Lonchura striata: one gene and its partner. The protein of the gene in region 1 interacts with the protein of each later gene in a biochemical or structural test. Links are inferred from orthologs where the notes say so. Each region holds a gene or a part of one and is shown on either strand. Other genes may lie near its edges.

Region 1 (9,803 bases):
CTGTGTGATATTTACCTTTTGCAAGAGCATATATATATCTCCTGTAGCATAGGGAAGGAACTAGCAGGAATGTGCCTAACCCTCTTTTCTCTTCAAGATCTGATTTTTCTGTTGGGATGGAGCTGGGTGACATGGGTACATAAATGATGTTATAATTACTTTCACCTACCTATACTTTAGTTTCCATTTAGATTCAGCTAAAGGGGACTCAAAGTTTTGCACAGGCTGCTACTAATGTTGAGTATCATAGCTCAACCAAGCTGGTGGAATGGGAACATTAAAAGTTAATTAAAATCTTGTCTGAAGAGCTGCACTACTTCTAGCCTTAGCATAACTGCAAGCTGATAACTCCTATACACATGCTCGTTCGCTTTCAGGACTGAAAATAGTGAAAAGAGGCAAAAAGAGACTGTTTTAAAGATTACAATATTTTTCAAAACATTTTCCTAATTGTCTGTTTTTTTCATTAAAAAACCTCCACATGTTAGCATTATTTAGCTGAAAATAGCTGTATTTAAAATAGCTTCAAATAATGTTAACAAAGCATTGTTTTAATTTTGCCTCCAGGAAAAACAAAACAAAGTTGTATCATGAATTATTCTCTATTTAAAATCTCTGCCATCATATTAACAATTTTTCCCCTTTAGCTGTGGGCTGACAAAATTCTTTCTCCCTTTTCCTTCCAACAATATAATGTGAGCATGACAGCAAAACAAATTGAAACTTCTGCTAAGCATTTTGCCCAAGACATGCATAAACTGCTCTTGTTTCTACTGCAGCTGCATGTCTTTCCTGGGTATGACACATGAAAATAGGTAATGTCAAAATAAGCCTACTATATTAAGAACAGTTAGAGATGTGGAGGTGTCTGACTGGGACTTAAAGCTCAGGTCCTGAGCACTTACAGTTATTAAAGATATTTTTACAGTTTTTTGTAAAGCAGGAATGTTAGCACTAATCACATGACTAACATACAAATTTGAAAATTACATCTGACATCTCCCTAATTTCCTTTTGCTATTTAACTTAATTCTAGTATTCATTACTTTCTTTTTACTTAAATTGCTCTTTTGTGTTTCTTCTTTGCTGTTATGGGTGGCTTAGAAATGAAAAATAATTGCGTTGAAATCTGCTCTTCTCTATTTTAAACACAAATTCCTTTTTTCTATCCTGATTTTTACAGCTCCCAGGCATACGAAGTATTACTTCCTCTCTCTTCCTTGTTCCCTAAAAAGTTCCATGAAGGATGCATAAGAATGGCTGAGAAAACTTCTCAGCACTCAATTGAAGGGAATAGGAAATGCTGAATTCTTAGCAGGTATCTCGACTGAAAGTAATTATTAGGCTAAATATTTTTAAAATAAGGATAATAGGTATTTAAACAGGATTATAATATTTGTAAATATTTATGTTTTATTCCCCTCATATATTGATGCCATATGCCTGCTGAAACTTCCCTGAAGTCTTCTCAGAAAAGGATGGATTAAAAAGCAGCTTCCAGGGGAAAGATGTAAGTAAGAAAATAATCAGCCTGTGTTTATATAAAACAAGAGAACATAAATTCTTTTATTACTTTTTCTATGAATCGTCTTTTTAAAAATATTCTTTTGATGATCTTTTTGATCTTCTTTTTCAGTGCTGCCTGCATTTTAGACATAGATGAAGTACAGGATTATATCACATATTAAATGTTATATTTCACATGAAAACACCTAAACACAGGACATCATAAAGAGCATCAGCACACACTTTACTATGGCTTTCCAAAAAATAAATTTTCTTTTAATCACCATGCAGGTAAGTAGTTGGTTGCTTACTGTGTCCACAAGACAGCTGCTGCTTAGGGAAGTCAAAGCAGAAAAAAACGCAGGGTTAGCAAAGACCTTTTCTAAAAATACCAGTAGTTTTTAGTGACTGACTATCCAGAGTTCATTCGGGTACATTGATTTAAAAACCTATCAAGCCTATAAAAAATCATGTCATGGAACTTTTGGAAATAATAAACCAGTGTCAAAAACTCTGATTACTAATTCCAAATATCAGTGCTGTTTCTAAGTTCTTGTCCTCTCTCTTTCTTGCATCCAGAACTGTTCTAAGCTGGCAGCACTCTTTGTTTGTTTAGGTAAGTACCTTCATGTAGGCTTTTTCTAGACTGTCTCCCTGTCAGACGCAGTATTTATAATAAACTTAATTTTAAAAAGAAGAGGTGATATATTTTCATAACCTAAGAGTCAAAAGGCTGTGGGAAGTGATCCCAACTCTGAAGTCTGTCTGTCTCTTTGGCTACAGTCTGTGTGAGGTTTGATACTTGGGATGTCTGCAGGCAGGGTCCCAGCCTGTGTCTGCAGGAGTAAAAGGGAACGCTCATACTGCAGTGAGATCACTCCTCAAAGCTATAATGGTTTTTCTCATCACTTCTCCATCAGAAAGGAAAGACTTTCACCCCAAAGAAATCCAACCTTTCCCAGCACCTGGAAAGGCATCACGGTGGTAGTGTAATACTGACACCGAGTGGATGAAAAAATGTACTGCCACTGTCCAACTTTGTCCCATTTTTGGAGAGGCTCCGCAGTGGGGAGGTATGAAAAAAACAGGAAGAACTATTTTGTTCCTAAGCATCTGGACTTCATGAGAACCAGAACCTGTCTGGGAGCTGTGATTCCTTCCAAATCCACAGGTGAACCTGAGTGGGAACTCCTGAGTCATTCATTATAACTTCACAGAAACCAACAAAATCTGCTTGCTTTCTACTGTTCCAATTTGTTTGTAGTGTGAAACTACAGGGACAATGGAGAGTGGTATCTTTTGCTCCTCCAAAATTAAAGTATCAAGTTCCCTAGGCTTACGCAAAATAAATCATATTCCTTTACATGTTTTTACCAAAACCCTAAGCAAAACATGGGAAGGGACACTCACAAAAGAACACCAATAAAGGGAAAGAGAATTTAAAGAGGGAAATTATTTTATTGGTTTTTTATGTATGGCAAAGACTAGGTCAGCATCTTGGTCAGATCTTTCTCTCCCAAAACATGTACTCTTGGTGTATTAGTGATTTCTGCTTACAACTTGGGGAAAAAAAAATACAGACAGTTCTCAAACATTGAATAAACAATGAGGAAGAGAGGCAAAGTGCATCCAACAGTTATATTATTAATTCATATTGATTTATATAGAGCCTTTTGTATTCCTTACAGCACCACAGTAACAAGTATGCACATAGCCAGTATGAAATCTTAATCATATTAAGGTGGCTCTTTTCCCACCAATCAATGTAAAAAATCAATTACCATTACTGAATGGAGAAGCCATCGAAATATTCATTGTTCTTTACTGACTTGTGTAGCCTGAGTTTGCAGGGATCTTGTCTGCTGTCTCTGCCACCAGCCCACATGGCTTTCCTGTGCTGGCAGCTGTCCCTCCTGCTGGTGACTAACCTGTGAAGGGCTCTGTGGCTCTTCCAAGACAAGAGAACGTTTTCACCAAACACCCACAGACCTGTTTACTAAGGTGACAGGAACATCATATCCCTAGAGTTCTGTGTTCAGCTGCTCTGCTGATCAGGTTGTAACAGGATGCTCTCAAGGAGATCAAATGGAAACATTGCACTGGCTTGCAGCCTCGGCCAAAGTCAGGAAGTGACACTCATCAATGGAATGACAGCCCTCAAATTTACTGGAGATTAAGGAGAATGAGATTGAGCATAGAAATTAGGTACAAGGAGAACCTCTTGCTCCGTTTATCACTCCACAGGCTTCTGTTGTCCATGTGCTCCTCCCAGTGATTTCTCAACGCTCCTCTGGCCCTGCTCTTCCACTCTGCTAATCCTTTGTGCCATGCAGGTCCTGCTTATGTACCTCCCATTGTGTCCTTCCCATTCTGCGATCCAGCAGCGCTGGCCCACACGTGCTCTGCAGCCCAGGGCTGAGGCTGCTCATCCCGGCTTTCACTCCACCTCCCGGGGAAGCGTCCCGGGCCCGCTCCTGCCTCAGCCTCGCACCGACCCCCCCACACACACCCCGCAGTTTCTGACTCTGTCCACCCCACGAATAATGGAGACCAGCGCGTGTTTGTAACGATTACATTTAGTAATGACGCCGTGGTCACCCTAAATGCCTTTTCCACAAGTGCTCCCGGTCGCGGGCCCCCGTCACGTGCGCGGCTGCTCGGGCCACGTGGGATGCGGCAGGCACGCGCCGTCACCCCGCCCACCGTGCTCCTTCCACGGAGATTGGCAGTGGAAGCAACCAATCATAGGCAGGCTCTGCATTCCCCCACCCCCAGCCCACGGTTGCTGTGTCATCCGGCGGGTGACATGGGGGGGTGGTCGTCGGTTGGCTGCGCAGGCGTCGGCTATCGGCCAATGCATGACGCGAGCTGCATGACTGACACCTATCCTGCCCAATAGCTGTCGCGCGGGGGCGGGACGAAGCGGAGATGTCGCTGGGGGCGGCGGGCAGTGTGGCGTTGGTGCCGTGTCGCGGCGCCGCTGAGCAGCTGCAGCCGCAGCCGTACGCGCTATCGCCTGTGGCCGTCACGGCGCCCCGCACATGAGTGCACAAACTGACGAAACCTCGCCTCGGCTGAGGAGGGTTCCAGCGACAGCCGCGGAGCGCGGCTCGGTGGGCGGGTCTTCGAGCCGTTACGGTGTAACGGGCACATTACTTCTCTGCTGGAGTCGGAGCGTGCGAGCCACAACCCAATCCGTAGGGCGGAAGGGCGGGACAAGTAGAAGCGGGCGAGCGAGTGCCCCATTTAAGGGGCAAATCTCGCAGCTAACTGGCAGAGGAAGAAGGGGCGGGAGCCAGTGAGAGATGTGAAGGGGGGCAACGCTAACCACTGACAGCCAGCAAATGCAGCCAATCAGTGAGCGTGTAGTGACGCGAGAACCCAATCAAAAGGGCCCGGGGGCGTTGCTCCTCTGTGATTGATGTGCGTCCTGGCTAATGGACGGAGAGATTCCCGAGACTCTTCCCAATGGGCAGCGTGAAGGGGCGGAAAGGGGAGCGGAAGGAGAAGACGAGCGGGTAGAACGACCAATCAGCGTGGGGGTCGGCGGGGCGCCGTCCAATGGGCGGTGCGAGGGGCGGTTCGGGGGCGTGTCCCGGTGTGTTTGGGTTCGTGCTCCTCGGGGGAGGGAGAGACGGCGGCGAGGAAAGTTTGGTTTTGGTTTTTTTTTTTCCCCCCCCGGTGGTGTTTTTTCGGCGGCGCCGGCGGAGCGGGGGGGGGTACGCTTTTCGCAGCTTCTTCGCCTTTTGCTTCCTGGGGTCCGTGTTTCCCGGGCGGGTGGAGCCGCCCCCGGCACTGAGAAGAACGGGGGCTCAGCGCACCGCGGCGGCGCCTCGGCGGTGAGTACGGGACGGGCGCCCCACCTCTTCCTCATCCCAGCTCCCGCCGTGGGACTCCCTGCGAGCCCTTCCCGCCCTGCGGACCCTCGCGCCGCCGCTGAGGGGCCTCTGGCGCCGGGCCGCGGTGCCGCGGGGCGGGGGAGGGACGGGGGGGCCGGGCCGGCGGGAGGGGCCCCGAGCGGCGGCGGCTCAAGGGCGCTGCCCCGGCGGCGGCGGAGCGGCCGCTGCTCCCGCCCCGAGCCCGCCGAGCGCCTGTCCCGGGGCGCAGCCGGGCGAGCGCTGCCCCCTCCTCGCCTCACGTGCGGCCGCTGTTCGCCGCGGCTGCGCCCCGGTGTCCCCCACCGCCCCCTCCTGCTCCGCACTGGGCCCCGGGGAAGAGCCGCCCTCCCGCCGGATCGCCCAGGCCGGGCAGGACGGAAACACTCCGAGGAGCCCTTGTGTGGATGGGGAATAAAAGTGCTTTAGTGTGGGGACGGAGCTGAGGTTGCGTTGGTACCGCTGCAAACCGCGCTGGATGAGTGGAACGTGATGCTGACTAAAATGTGTGTGTGTCTGTGTGCGTGTATGTGTGATGGTGGGTGGGAAGAGTGACCGTGTTCAGAGGTGTGTCCTTGAGGGGGAAAAAGTTTCCCCAGCTGTTTGTAGCAAAATGAGGGAATGTTTGTTTCTGGAGACACTTCGCTGCCTGTGGATAAGCGCTGCTTGCAGCGTGGTATCTTGAAAGCTCAGATCCGCTTTATGAAAGTGTATGTAGGAGGGATCTACTACAGCATACAGCTGAGGCTTGTTGAATAAACCGAAGACTCCACAAAGTGTTTTCCTAGCTAAAGTAGAGATGCTTACTAATGTAAACAGTACTTGTTTTTCCATGGTAACGTTTCACTAACTTCATGAACATTTATTAAAATACCTCTTTGTAAAGTTAACTTTTTTTTTTTTGTTTTTACAATCCATTAATTACTATTTTTAAATCATGATTTGCTGTAGTTCAGTTTACAACCGCTGCAAAAGGTACGACGTTGTCGCTGACGTCAACAAACGTTGTCACGTTTACAACCTCTACAAAAAATGTGACTTTTTGTGCAAAATAGTGGGTCGTTCTTTGGGGGGTTTACAGCTCTGTATTTGAAAGGTCTGTTTCTAGTGTTTTCTAGTAATATCGCTGTCCATATGAGTGGATTTTGGAAATTAGTTCCTGCTACAAATGTTGTAGAGGTGATAACTTAGGTTTATAGGGTTATTAAATATGTGCACAAGTTCAAGCAGCTGTGTAGTTAGCTTGTCCACAGTGAAATTGCTCAGCAATGCCCTCCTCTCCTGTGGTGACTCTCTAAGGGTGCAGATTCCTTGGAATGCGCGCTGTTGAAATGTGAGTGAATGCTCTCATCTGCTGCATTACCCAAGGCCCCGAGCTAAAAGTTCCAGTTTTTCTTCAGAAACCGTGGATAGTGCACGGTCTGCTGGGTCGATGTATCTCGGGGGAGGGGTTTGCAGGAGTGACTTTTCACCTGAGTTTTGCTGAGTTGCAGATGTAACTAGACAATTCCTCAGCGAAGAAATCGCCCTGCAAAAAGTTGGGGCTGGAGATGGGGGAAGGGAGCCCAGAGAGATGTTAGCTGTGTGTTAGATTTTCACCTGTGGGGTTTTGGGGCAGTAAGACACAGGCACATCTGTCTTGGTAGAGAGTAGGTGAAGTCATCATTAGACATTTATCTTGTTTAGCTATACTGCATTTGTGCTGATGGGCAAAATGTTTTTGGGATACTTACAGGGAATCACGTAAATCCTGTAATATGGAAGTACTGGTAAAAATGTAACGATAAACCAGTCAGTGTCTTCTTGATTAGGTAGACTTTTGAATTAATGCACTATTCCAGTTTCTGTATACCTGCAAATTTAGCTAGAGATCTACACTTTCATTTAAATAATAAGTTCAAACATTTGAACATAGAAGTCTTGAAAAAGCTTAATGTGCCAGAGTTTGTGTGATTGACTAGTCCAATAAAACATTTAGGTTGAGTGTGTGTCATGGCTTTGCTTGGTGATGCTTATTTCATCGTTAAAACTTGATGTTGGAGGAAGCTTTAGGAGAGAATTTTGTGTAGCTCTGAGGTATTGTATTTTACCTTAGATCTGCCTCCTATAATAGCAAGTAAGAAATTAGAAATTCTTTTTTTTGCAGAAGTAATGTATAATAAAAATCATACGTAGGTAGAGATGGCTGCATCCTGAACAGTGGGATGAATAGCTGCAGCCAGAATGATGGAAAGAACTGAAGGACCGCTATAAGATAGTAATTTGAAAATATGTTAAAATGGGGTTTGTTCTCTGGGATTTTTGAGTTATTTTTTAATTTATTTTTTCCCCCTCTGGTAAAGCTGGTGTATTTCTGCTCACAGAAGAGATTGGATTTACAATTAAGCAGTATGAACTGGAGATCATAGAATAAGTCTAAGAAGCTTAGTTATTGACTTGAATGAGTTTATTAATAGTCTGCTTAATGGTTTGGTTACTCTGTTTTCCATTTTCTGCAAAATGCTTGGATGCAGTTTGTTCTAGTCACTTATCACTGTTACTGTGTTTATTTTCTTGGACATCTTTATACATAAATATTGTCTGCTTTGTACGGTAATAACAAGTAATAGTAATTTTCCAGTTTCTTTACAATGGCTTTTGTCAGTCATTGCTCATAGTGCTGCTATTAGATTCAAGAAATCTGCAATACTTCTACTTACAGCGTACCTAGCATCTTACAGCTATTCAGCTCTTTATCATTAGTTCTTATTTTTCATGCAGCCTTAACCTGTGTGTAATTTGGGTCAGTAGATGTATTTTTGTGAAGAACTGGTGCTGTTTATTTTCACAGGATAAATTAAACATGTTTAACACATAGATCAAGAAGGGAAGTACCTGATATTAGCACATATGTACCATTGGTTTTCTTTAAAGCTTAAAGTTTTCTGTTACCTCAGTGCTTATAAAATGTATTAGCTCTGGATTTGCTTTTAATGGTCTGTTTCTTGCATTTTCAGAAATTTTAATCATGAAATGTTTCACTATCTTAGGGAAAGAATAGCAAGGGAATGTCAGTCTTCCGTTCTAATTGCAAGAACCTAGTACAGAGATGTTGAGCAAACAGTAACATACATTTCTAATAGTTTGACCAGTTGTGGTAGAAAAATACATGTATTCTTGCTAACAGTCTTCCTTAGCTTAGCATTTACTGTCTTTCTCCATTTTCAGATAAAACATGTGATAAGGGTGCTTGTTCTTAACAGCAAACAGTGTGGAATGTGGACTGAAGAATTTATGTTAATTTCTTGTGAATCCAAACTTAACTTTTGGCTACTATCTGCTAATAAAAATAGGGGCACTTTTGGGTACTTGGGCCAGCTGTCACTGTCAGACAAGTAGTTGCCTGCTGGTATTTCAGCTTGCGAGGTGACTGGGGTGAGAGTAATCAGGATATTCTGATTGCTGTTCCCTGTCCCTTTCAGCGGATAATAAAACTCTTACATTTTCTTACATTTGTCTTCTGTTCATGACTTCTTTGTGTTGCACTTCTACTCATTATTTTTATTTCTTCAGAGAAGTAAACATGCTTTGCTGCAAGGCGTTGGTGTCACTTATTTTTTTTCCTTTAGAGCAGTAGGCAGTGAGTACGTTAAATTTGTTTTTTCTCTTTGCCTTCTTATAGCGGTTAGAGGGAGAGGGTGTTTTTGCACTTATTATGGTTTGCATCATGTTGTAGGGGAATGTTCTGAGGTTTTTAAGTTTTCATCAGCCTAAGGGTTGTGGTTGGAGTTTGGATGTTCTCTGTGTTTACCATGTAGTGAGCTATGGAGATGACCTTTTCCAGTTTCAGCTAGTCAGTACGGATTGCGTTTCTGGGCCCTGCCAGCTTTAGTAGTTCTGAAATTGGATATCGTGCATGTATTTCCTGATTTAATGTCTGTGGATCAGAAAAAACTCAATAGTTCCTCTGTGAGAAAATCTGGGAAGCAAGTTAATGTTCTATTGAGACACTGTTTAAATTTTTAAAAATATCTACTTAGAAAAGTAAAATGGACCTGAAAGCAGCTCTTAGTCAGTTTAGCTTTTAAGTCTGTGGAGCAACATCCTGCTTGTCAGGAGAAATGGGAGGTATCATAAGGCAGCACTTGTGCTGCATGCTACAGGATACTAGTCACAATAAATGTGTAGAAAATAACCTGGAAGTTGGTATATTTTGACCATGTTAGACAGAAGATGGGAGGCTGGAAAGCTAATTATCAGAAGAAATTATAAGAAGCAAAGTTGCAAAACAAAGAGTTGATAATTTTAGATAGCCTGACAGGATTAGTCAAAAGGTGCTACAATGATACCATGTTGCTTCTATGAGGGGAAGTTCTCTAATCCCTCTAAATGAGTAATGAAGTAAAAGTAATTTGTGGTTTTACTTGCATTTAATTTCTATAT
Region 2 (10,093 bases), on another chromosome or scaffold:
CAGCAATCCCACACTTGGCACTGCTTTGGTCACTCCAAAACTAAGGCTGATCCATGCAAACCCTTTTACCAGAGTATCCCCAGATGCTTCATGAACATAACACCCCACAATTAGGCTCATGAATCATAGCTGAAGGAAGGAGACACCCTCCAGCAACACAAAAGTTGGCTCAGAATTTTGATTGGACACAGAAGATACAGCAAACTCAGGGTAAGAAAAATGGGCAGAGTGGCCAGAGAGCAGCACCTGATGGCACAGGAGATGCTCTGCAAAGACCAGGGCAGGACCATGACCAGCATTGAGGATGGGTAAGTTCACCCTGGTCTGACTCACAGAGTTTTATTTTGGTGACCACAATAGTCCCTGAATGTGACAAGCCAAAGCAGCTGCCCAGGCAGCACGTCCAGCATGTGGGCCAGGCTCTCATCCAAGCTTGGCTGCTTCAGCCCAGGTGGGAGAGACCCCAAAACCCTCTGCTCAACATGCAGGCTTGGCTCATTCTTTCACATTCTACTTTCCTGCCCTGAAGCACTCAGGGTCTCTCGGTGATTTGCCTCAGTGAAAGCCACCCTTCTCCTGGCTCAGAGGATGCTGCCAGGGGATCCCGGACATCTCGACTGTCATCCCCAGGCACCTCATGCCTGAAGCTGGCTCAGGCACCAGAAAAGGAGCCAACAAGAAGAAGCCTCGTTAAAAAGCTACCCAGAGTGCATGGAAACAGGGGGGCTCCAGCACACAGTGTAGCTCCTGCATACCTCGACTCTCCATGGCGAAGCTGCACAAGCTCCCACTTTGTCATGTAAATGCGGGCGCCGGGGCCAGGGGCTGCAGGGCGAGTGTTGTTCCTGCAGCACAATGCGGCCAGTGAGCGGGATGAAATCCGCTGCCATTAGAAATTCCGCGGCCCGGGAGGAATCACAGACTTTCGCACACAAAGCCATGTCCTGGGGACGCGCCGGCGGCGGAGCATCGACGCCCTTCCGCCGGGTACCGCGGGCAGAGACGGCGGAGAGGGCAGAGCCACCGAAGTGAGAGCAAGTTTGAGGTAATTAGCGCTGGAATACGCTTTGTTTCTGTTATTTATTGTAACAGCTGGGGAACACGACCCGCTGCCCAACAGCTGCCTGCGTCGGGCGAAGCCGCCGGTGGGACGGCATGAAATTACCATGTCATTGAAATCCTCTCCAGCGCTGCATTCAGCCGAGGGGCCGCGGGAACGGGGCCCAGACAAAAGGGAGTTTTATTGCGGCGGCGGCGGGTCCGTGCCGGCCCCCTCTCCGCACACCCACTCGCCAAAATACAGCCAGGAATCAGAGAGGTGCAGACGGGGCCGCGGCACAACAAATGCCACCGGACAGGCAGCGTGGTCTATCCTCACCCTGAGACATCTCCGTCCTAAACCACCCCAGAATCCCCTCGGGAAATGAAATCCCCCGTCGGGGAGCAAAGCAAGGGGCAGCACCAGTGGGAAAGGCAGCTGCTGGGGAGGATGAGCAATTGGTGTTCCAGATCTCCAGGCTGGACACCTTAAAAACCACTGGCTCTAAGCAGTGACCAACACCATTCCACATAGTCCAGACTTCAAAAAGCCCCAACTCAGCTCTGCCAATGCAGAAACCACTGCCTGTTCCTTCTTGAGTGACCTGAGCACTGCCAGGGTCACGCAGCTGTGAGTGCTTTTAGGTTTGACACCAAACTGAGTTTCAGCAGGTGATGCACACATGGGACAGCGGCTCCATCTGCAGCTGTCAGAGCCCAGCATTAAACTGTCCATGCACCAGAGCCTGGCTGCTGAGGGAAGGCTGAGCCGCCCAAGCTCTGGTCCTGCCCTGCACTGGGGTGGCTTCACCCAAAAAATGAGCCAAAACGGGTTCTAAACTGTTTTACTACAGGACTGACATCTGAAAGTGCTGAGTTCTTCATAACCTCACATTAAACATTGCTAAGGACACTGCTGTGCTTCCCACCTGGAAATTACGGGTGACACCCTGAAGTGCAAGCTGTCTGGTTGAATGGGTGCATCCTGGGACATGCAGTCCCACAAGTTGAGCTGAGCAAGAGTGTCAAGCTGCAGGTGCTGCACTCCAGCTGCTCTGGCTCTGGAGAGCAGTGTGGTGATGCCAGTGGTGTGGTGATGCTGCCAGTGTGGACACAGCTCAATCATGAGCTGACATGTGAGGGTTCTGCCAAGCTGGCCTCAGCTGTCCAGCAGCTCTGTTTTCCATCCCTCTGACGGAGTTTGAGAAACACCGGCACAGCAAGTGCCAGCTCCCCTGCTGAGCACACTCGGTGGCACATCCAGGCTGCGTGACTCCGCTCAGTGACCCTGGGGTCCCAGCTAATGGTGCCTGGGCTGGGTGGAGGCTGACATCTCCTGCCCAGCCCCGTGAGGTCTCCCGCTGCTCCTGCACTGCCCAGGCAGCAGCCAGGGATGCGCAGAGCCGAGAGTCGCAGACAAAGGCGGTCCCCAGTGCCAGAGGGACAGGACAAAAGCGACGTCGGCTCCTCTCCATGTCCCATCGCGACCCCGCAGTGCCACCGGCTCTGGGAGCGGAGGTTGAACCCGCCCGTGGCTCTGCATGGATCACCCTGCCGAAGGAGCAGCTTCTCTGCCTAATTTGGCTTCCTCCTCGCGTCTGCCATCTTAATAACTTGCCTGTGTTTTGTTCTTCCCAGGGTTTAGGGAGAGGCTGCAAAGAGTGTTTAGAGATAAACCATCCATGCTGTGTCTCCAGGCAAGGTGCTTCTCCTGGCTTTGTTTCTCGGCTTAATCCTGTCCCAGAACCAGGCATACGCAATTTCATGTTTCCTGAAGATAAAGAGCCCCAACAGACGGAGCAGCTTTGGGGTTTTTGCAAGATTCAGCACAGGAAGACAACGGTTGAGATTAACAGCCTTTAGGAAATTTGCAAGGGATAAACTAAAAGTTGTGGGACAATAGTTTTTAAAACCACTGCATGCGTGTGTCTTCCTGAGTGCTGCCTGTGGGTCCCATGTCCTAGGTTTTTCCTCTCCCTTTCCAGACATCTCCATGTTGGGCACATCCAGGCACATGCCAGTTTTTGCTTTATTGCCACAGCATCATCAGAGCTCGCGTGTGAGGCTCAGCCCATACTCAGGGTCTGGCACAAGCACAGGGGTGCCACAGCAGGGCAGGATTCACAGCAGGTCTGATGACACGGGGTGCATGAGTCCCCTGTTCAAGGGGTGAAGAGCAGGCATCCCCCAGCCAAATTTGGGGACAGAAGGGGAAACTCCCAAGGCTGCAGCAGCAGAGCCCTGCTCCCAGTGCAGCCCTCACAGGCCCACGGACTGAAACCCAAACCTGTCTACCAAGTGCATCCCCATCCCAAAACAAGAGATTCTTTTATCGCACCTTAAGAGCATCATTTCAGGCTGGGGTAGGAGGGTGCCCAGCAACGTTATCTTTGTGGCCCTGAGGCAGCAGCACTGCTGTCGCCCCAAGGCGCTGGCAAAGCCCGTGGTGCTGCCAAATCACTGCTTCCAGAGGCCATAAATCAGCCAAAACACAAAGCACCCAGTAGCCAGAAGGTAACGCAGACACAGGGAGATTTCTGTGCCACACTTAAAGTAAATATCACACCGAAGGACTGAAGTTTACAAACACTCAGCAGGTTTATGTCAAAATCTCATCAGGCTGATGTGTTGTGGAGGGTGGCAAACCCACCAGCACAAGAGAGGTGGCAGGGCAGTGACTGCCAATCCCCTCGTCTTGCTCCTCGGAAGGGCAGTAGCTCTCCATCCCCATCGCCCCGTGCCTCAGCAGGGCAGTGACCTGCATCTCCATCACCCCATCCCTCCCTCTGCCTTATTCTAGGCACCAAAATCCTTCTGGGACTCAGCAGCGCAAGTTGGCGATGCTCAGGCCAGGCACAGGAGCGAGCAGCAACCGATGCTACGGCCTAGGGAACAGACCTCCAAACCCTCGCCGAGCTGCCCGGCACGAAGGGCACTGCCAGCTGCTCCCATCCATACCGGGGTGGAGGTTGCGGCAGGGGACACGGGGGTACAGGGTGGCTCTGGCCCCGCGGGGCCATGCTCAGCCCTGGCTCCGCGCATGCCCTGGCACGGGCGGAGGAGACGCTTGGTGCTGTCACGGCACACGGCATCGCCGGCCCCGCGCCAGCTGCAGCCTGCGCCCCGCTCCCCGAACTCGGGGAACGGGGAGCTGGGCGATGGATGGGGAGCTGGGGGATTAAATGGCAGCTGGGGGGTGGGAGGGAATGGCAGGGAGGGGAGTGGAATGGCAGCCGGGGGGATGGATGGAGTGGGAGGTAGGGGGAAAGGAATGGGAGCTGGGAGAAAGGTTGGAAAGCTGGGGGGATGCTGCTGCTGCTGCTTTGTGCAGAGCAGGCCCCTTGAGCAGGGCTCGCTCCGCGCTGTGGGGACCTGCGGCTGGACGTGACCCCGGCCCTGTGCCCCCTCCTGCGAGGTTCCTGCGGGTCCCTCCATCGCCCCTTGCCCAGCGCCCGCACCGCTGCTGCTCTCGGGGCACCCTGGGGACGCGCCGGCCCGGCGGCCCGCAGCCCCCCCGCACCCCGCTGCTCAGACATCCTCCGATCCCCGGCATCGCCCCCGCACATCCCGCGCCGCCGCCACATCCATCGCCACCCGCCGCGGTCCCCTCCGCACACCCCTCCACCGCGCTCACCCGCCCCGGCGCCCACAGGTCCCCTAGCCCCCGCCGCACACCCGTCCCCCGTTCCGCCGGCCTCATCCCTTTCGCCCCCCGTCGCCTTCACGGCGCTCCCCGGCGCGCAGCGCTCCGACCTCCCCATCCCCGCCGGCGGTACCTGCTCCCGAGGGTCCCGCTTCCATCCCATCCACGCGGGCGCCGCTCCGAGCCGGGGGCCGGGGCAGGGCCGTGCCGGGGGCCGGGGCCGGGCAGGGCCGGGGCCGGTGCCGCAGCCGCCTCACGCCCCTCACGCCGCGCGCACGCGCCGCCGCCGCCCGGCCCCGCGCGCAACAAAGGCGGCGCCCGCCGGCCCCGCCGCCATCTTGGGGCCCGCGGGACCGGGGGGACCCGGGGGACCGGGGAGCTCCGCTCGGGACGGCGAGGGGTGCCCGGCCGGGGCCTCGCTGCAGCCGGGGAGCGGCGAGCGCTGTCCGCCCGCCGGTGCCCGGGCCGCCCGCTGCGCGGTTGACACAAATATTTATTTCGTGGTTTTCTTTTTTTTTTTTTTTTTTTTTTTTTTTTTTTTTTTTCTCGTAGGCTTCCCGTCGGGGCAGCAGTAGTTTGAGGTGGGGGCAGCTTGGGTCTGGGACACAGCCTTCACTGTTCGGATTTTTTGCAGGTGGCCACCCCCTCAGGGCCACCGGCCCCTGAGCACAATTAATGCCACTTTTCCCTGTGAAGGAAAACTCGCCAGCCCAGGTTCCTGATGTGTTTGTAGGGTTCCTTTGGGACTGTCAGGCCAGCAGTAGTTTGAGGTGGGGGCAGCTTGGGTCTGGGACACATCCTTCGCCGTTCGGATTTTTTGCAGGTAGCTGCCTCCTCAGGGCCACAGGCCCCTGAGCACCAGCAGCGGCAGGGCAGGAATTCCCTGTGGCCCTGCTCCATCTAAATCCACAGAACTGGGCACAGCGGCCCCCTTTCCATCCTGTTTCCCACCACGTCCCAGACCTGACCTTCCCAGGAAGCGCAAATCCCTGACCCTGTGCATTGACTTCCTCAACAACATCATAAACCCCAGGAGCATCATTCCCACAATGAGCCCAGGTGTGTGTTCCTAGCTGGGCCGTTCCAGGAAACGTGGAAAAGCTACAGGAATTCAGGCTGTCAAAGCATTCCCATCTTGTGTTCTCCCAAAGTATGAGGAGCAGCTCCTGCTGTCCCGAGGGAGTGGCTGGAGCAGGACCCAGCAGGGATTTTGGAATTGGAGCTGCACAGACAGCAAGGCTGTGGCACTGAATCCCAGACATCGCTCAACCCTGAGTTCCTGAGGTTTGGTCCAAGAGGTCTTTACATCATGTTTGGAAGACACTAGGATGAGCAAACCTCGAGGCTTGAGCTCCTCAGGTTTCCATGAGGCTGAGCAACCGCAGTGGCAAAGCCCCAGGATGTGCCCTGCAAACGGAACTGACACCTAAGCGGGGCTGCAGGAGGTGCCGGGCATTTCAGACAATCCTGTCCTGGTTTCAGCCACAGCTCCCACACTCTGGCCTTCTCCAAAAGCTTTTCCTGTCCTTCCTGCAGTATTTATAGTGCAGCACAGCTGTCTAAGGAGACAAACCCTCGCCTCACATAAAGATGAAGCAGCCAACAGCTCTTGTATTTATTCATTGCATCTCTCTGATATAGAATCCCCTCTCTCCATGCAGGTACAGTCCATCAACACCAAATTTTCTCTGTAATTTCCCAAACATTATAAAAACAGGCCCATTCTGAACCCTGCCCCTGGGGATTGCAATTTCAGCTTCCCTTCAGGTTTAGGATTCTGGGAGATGTCACCCATATGTATTTCTTTAACTTGCTAACTTTTAATGCATCAGAAATAGATATATTGTGGTAATGAGTTCCACAGGTGACACATTCTGTACAAGTTTTAATTAAAAGTTAAATAGTTTAAGACATTTGTATACAGGCAACAGTATTGGTTGCTCACTCTGTACATTGCATTTATTGGACAGCAATAATGAAAAACAGAACATTTGGCACGAGAATGCCAATTTTTTTTATTATTATTATTATTTTTGGACACATGAACACAAAATATCCCTGCAGGCTAAAAAAAAAAAAAATACAATTCAATTGTACACGACCAGCATCTTATCTCGACACGGGGCTGTGAGCCCCAGGACAGTTTAGAAAGTACCTCGTATTGCTAGAGACATACATCCAGTCCAAAGTTAATAAAATACCATTTGAAACATTACAAGTCTAACAATATAGAAACCAAAAAATTACATCAGAAGTCAAACTGAACAAATGCAAACATTTTACATTGAAGTTGCAGCCTCTAGACATAGAAATATGAAAATGTCAATAGCAAGGTCTAAGAAAATCTGTAAGTGATATTTAGTGCAAGATCTTTCCTCCAGTGCACAGGGAAAGAGCCTTGCAGTGGATCAGGATTGGGATGGAGCCAATGCCCTCTGGCCCTGCCTTCTGAAAATGAAAGCAGAGTCACTCCCTCGCTATTGAGCAAGAAAACTCCTACAGCACATCCACAAAGGGGTCGGGGCTGTCAGATGCCAGCTCTGAGCCAGGGCCCTGCCCCATCCGAAGGGCCAAGCGAGGCTGGACACGGCACAGCCCGTGCACCCACCTCTGCAGTGCCCTTCGGATGGAGCTCCGGGCACCCGGGGAACTCACAGCAATACAAGAGCCAGACTGCTGGAGACAGGCTAACTAGGGATTGCCAGAGCTTCTTCAGAACTCAGCAGGGACAAAGCAAGCAGAACCAGGTGGAAAACAGGATTTCTGCCCCCTCCCCCCACCCTTTTTTAAAATATTTTTTAATATATATCAACCACCCCCTTCCCCAACTCTTTGAACTTTGCTACATTTAAAATCTTTCACACCACAGAGCTAAACAGTGGCCAACAGGCTTTATTTATAAAAAAAACCCCAAAAAACAAAAATCAAAACACCCTAAAACTACAGCTACAGAATGCACATCTTCCCATTGATTGACACATGCAGAACGAGTCACTCAGGCCCACAGGGCTCACTCAGGTCCTCAAGTCATCCAGACTTGGGCTCAGACCTACCTAGGGCAGCACTGCTGCAACTTGGATCCTGAACTTCAGTGCTTTCCCCCCAAAACTCCAGCCCTGTGCCCGGGGTGGGCTCACACCAGCCCCGCTCGGGTGCTGGCCCAGGGCTCACCAGGGGCTGATGCTCCACCTGGTCTGAGGTCAAATATCCAGTCACAGGCAAACCAAGGAGAGGCTCTCCCTTCCCTCAGTCTCAACCAGGAGTGCTTGGCACTGGACAACTAATTGGTGATAAAGTTCATTTTTTATGCACCCTTGTTAAACCAGCCCCATTCCTAGTGCACAAACTCAAATCAGGGATCTTGGATCCTACCACCTCCAACAGGTGCTCAGGTGCTTTTCAAGGTGCCAAGGTTCTCCGTGTGTGTTGGGTCAGTCAGAGTTCACTCTAAAAAGGGTTTTTGTGTCTTCTCCCTGAACGAGTACTGAGAAAAGCAGCGGTCAGTCTCCCACCCACATGTCCTGATTTTATTACACAAGTGAGGTATTCTTTAAAAAAAAAGTTAAAAAATGTAAAAGAATCTTTTTGTTTTTTTCAATCTAAACCTGTCTTGGCACATGCCAGGAGCAGGATTCACTTCAGTCCCATTTTTAACAGAAATGAAAAGAGGTTAAACTTAATTTATGAGACATAGTACTGGTAAGGAGGTTATAAAACTGTTTGAAGATGTTCAGTGTACTCTGGTACAACTGAAAACAACAGCATTTAGAAATGTAAACTTTCATTTATTTACAAGCTTAAAGACTGAAGGAAACAGCATTTCCTATTGCTGAAATTTGGAGGGGGCTGGTTCCTAAGCTTTGGGACAGCAGACAACTTAGCAGCAAACCCCACACAAGTATCAGAGACCACAGTGCAATCCTTGGGCTTCTTAAACTCCTCCTCAGTTTAGGAATAAGCTTTAATCTGCACTAACTCAGGTATACAATAAGGAATCTAGTCTTAAATTACTACGTTCATGGATTACAGGAATATACCAGGGAAACCAGGTCCCTGTTCTGGATTACAGGTTGCAGCTGAAAAAAGCCAAGCAGATTAAAAACCCTAATTTCTAGGCTAGGACAGAATCAGCATTTGAGACTCACACGGGTTCAACATGCCGTAAATGCAGTTGTGTGGGCAACCCAAATTCCCAGGAAAAAAACAGTTCAAAATGCTGGTACAAGTCCTCAGGTTGCCTGCCACACAATACATTTCAACTGCACACGTTGGCCTTTCCTACACGGAACACCCAGTTTCCAAGCTTATAAAAAATGTTCTAGACAGGACACCAACAGTGAATATAAAACAGTTAAAAATAATCCTTAAAAAAAGCATGGAAATGTGTCTTTTCTAATTTGTTTCAGAAACTGCCAAATTGTGTGTTCAGAAAACGACACGAGAATGTTGGTTAAACTCATGCACAATCCTCAGCTAGAAAATTACACTGTTTGGGGGGCTTAAAAAACAAAGATTTATTGCCAAAGTTAAACCTTCTATGAGAAAAAAGTTTTAAAATCACTTAGATTTATCAAACCACACAGCAGCATAAAGTGGGCACTTTTGTAAAAGTTTGCAAAATACCTAAAAGCTAAATTTTTTTTTTTTTGTTTTATCATTTTTAGAGGGGGGAAATGATGGTTCAGTACTTGTTACGATACCATGGCAGTATTATTTATAACCATTATCATTAAAATCTACTGACAGGCATCACTATTGGTTATATTACACATTCACAGAACAAGAACCACCTATTAACTCGCAGTATAGTGCAATTGCTTTGCAGCCCAAGTCTGCAGAGATTAAAAAGATAATTAGTAAAACTGACAAAAAACTGCAATACCTGTGAAAGTTATGTTTGTTAAAAGGCATTTACAGTAGTGAAGTCTAAAATCTCCATAAAAAAATTTATGGCCCCACACGACAGAAGGATTACAGCGAGCTGGATAAAACATTTTGCCATCACATCATACTCACGAAGCAGGGCACGGAGACAGAGCAGCAGTCACCGTCAGCTCATGGGATGAGGAGAACTGAAAAAAACCACAGCTAGCAAAAGATTTGATAGAAACCTTTCGTGCCAACTCCTTGAAAAATTTCAGGATGATCGGCCTTTGCGCTTTGAGGTAAAAATTCAGTCCAATGCATCAGAAAAGACAAGTCTATGGATTTCTAGTACAGAAAACAATGAAACAAATGGCTCAATTGTGTTGGTGCATCAGACGTTGCAGTGAAGAACAGATTCAGTGCGACTGTCCGGAGCTGCTGGTAGTGGGCAGTCCGAAATCCCCCGGCCCTGGGTAGAGCAGGAGATTTCCAAACACTTCAGGACTGCATGGGTAGTTGTTTTGCCTCATCTTCCCAGGTGCTCTC

What was found.
Region 2: the proteins of TNRC6B (region 1) and protein argonaute-1 form a complex in vitro, tested with the Homo sapiens proteins (2 studies listed by BioGRID and IntAct). The link is inferred for Lonchura striata from reciprocal best matches to the Homo sapiens genes TNRC6B and AGO1.

Annotation. Positions count from the first base shown.
Region 1 is NC_134607.1:24,505,810-24,515,612, forward strand, and holds the start of TNRC6B (trinucleotide repeat-containing gene 6B protein), read left to right. Parts: upstream 1-5,104; 5' UTR 5,105-5,345; intron 5,346-9,803.
Region 2 is NC_134628.1:4,006,704-4,016,796, reverse strand, and holds the start of protein argonaute-1, read right to left. Parts: upstream 4,919-10,093; 5' UTR 4,840-4,918; coding exon 4,815-4,839; intron 1-4,814. Other genes in the region: protein argonaute-4, read right to left, coding at 10,092-10,093.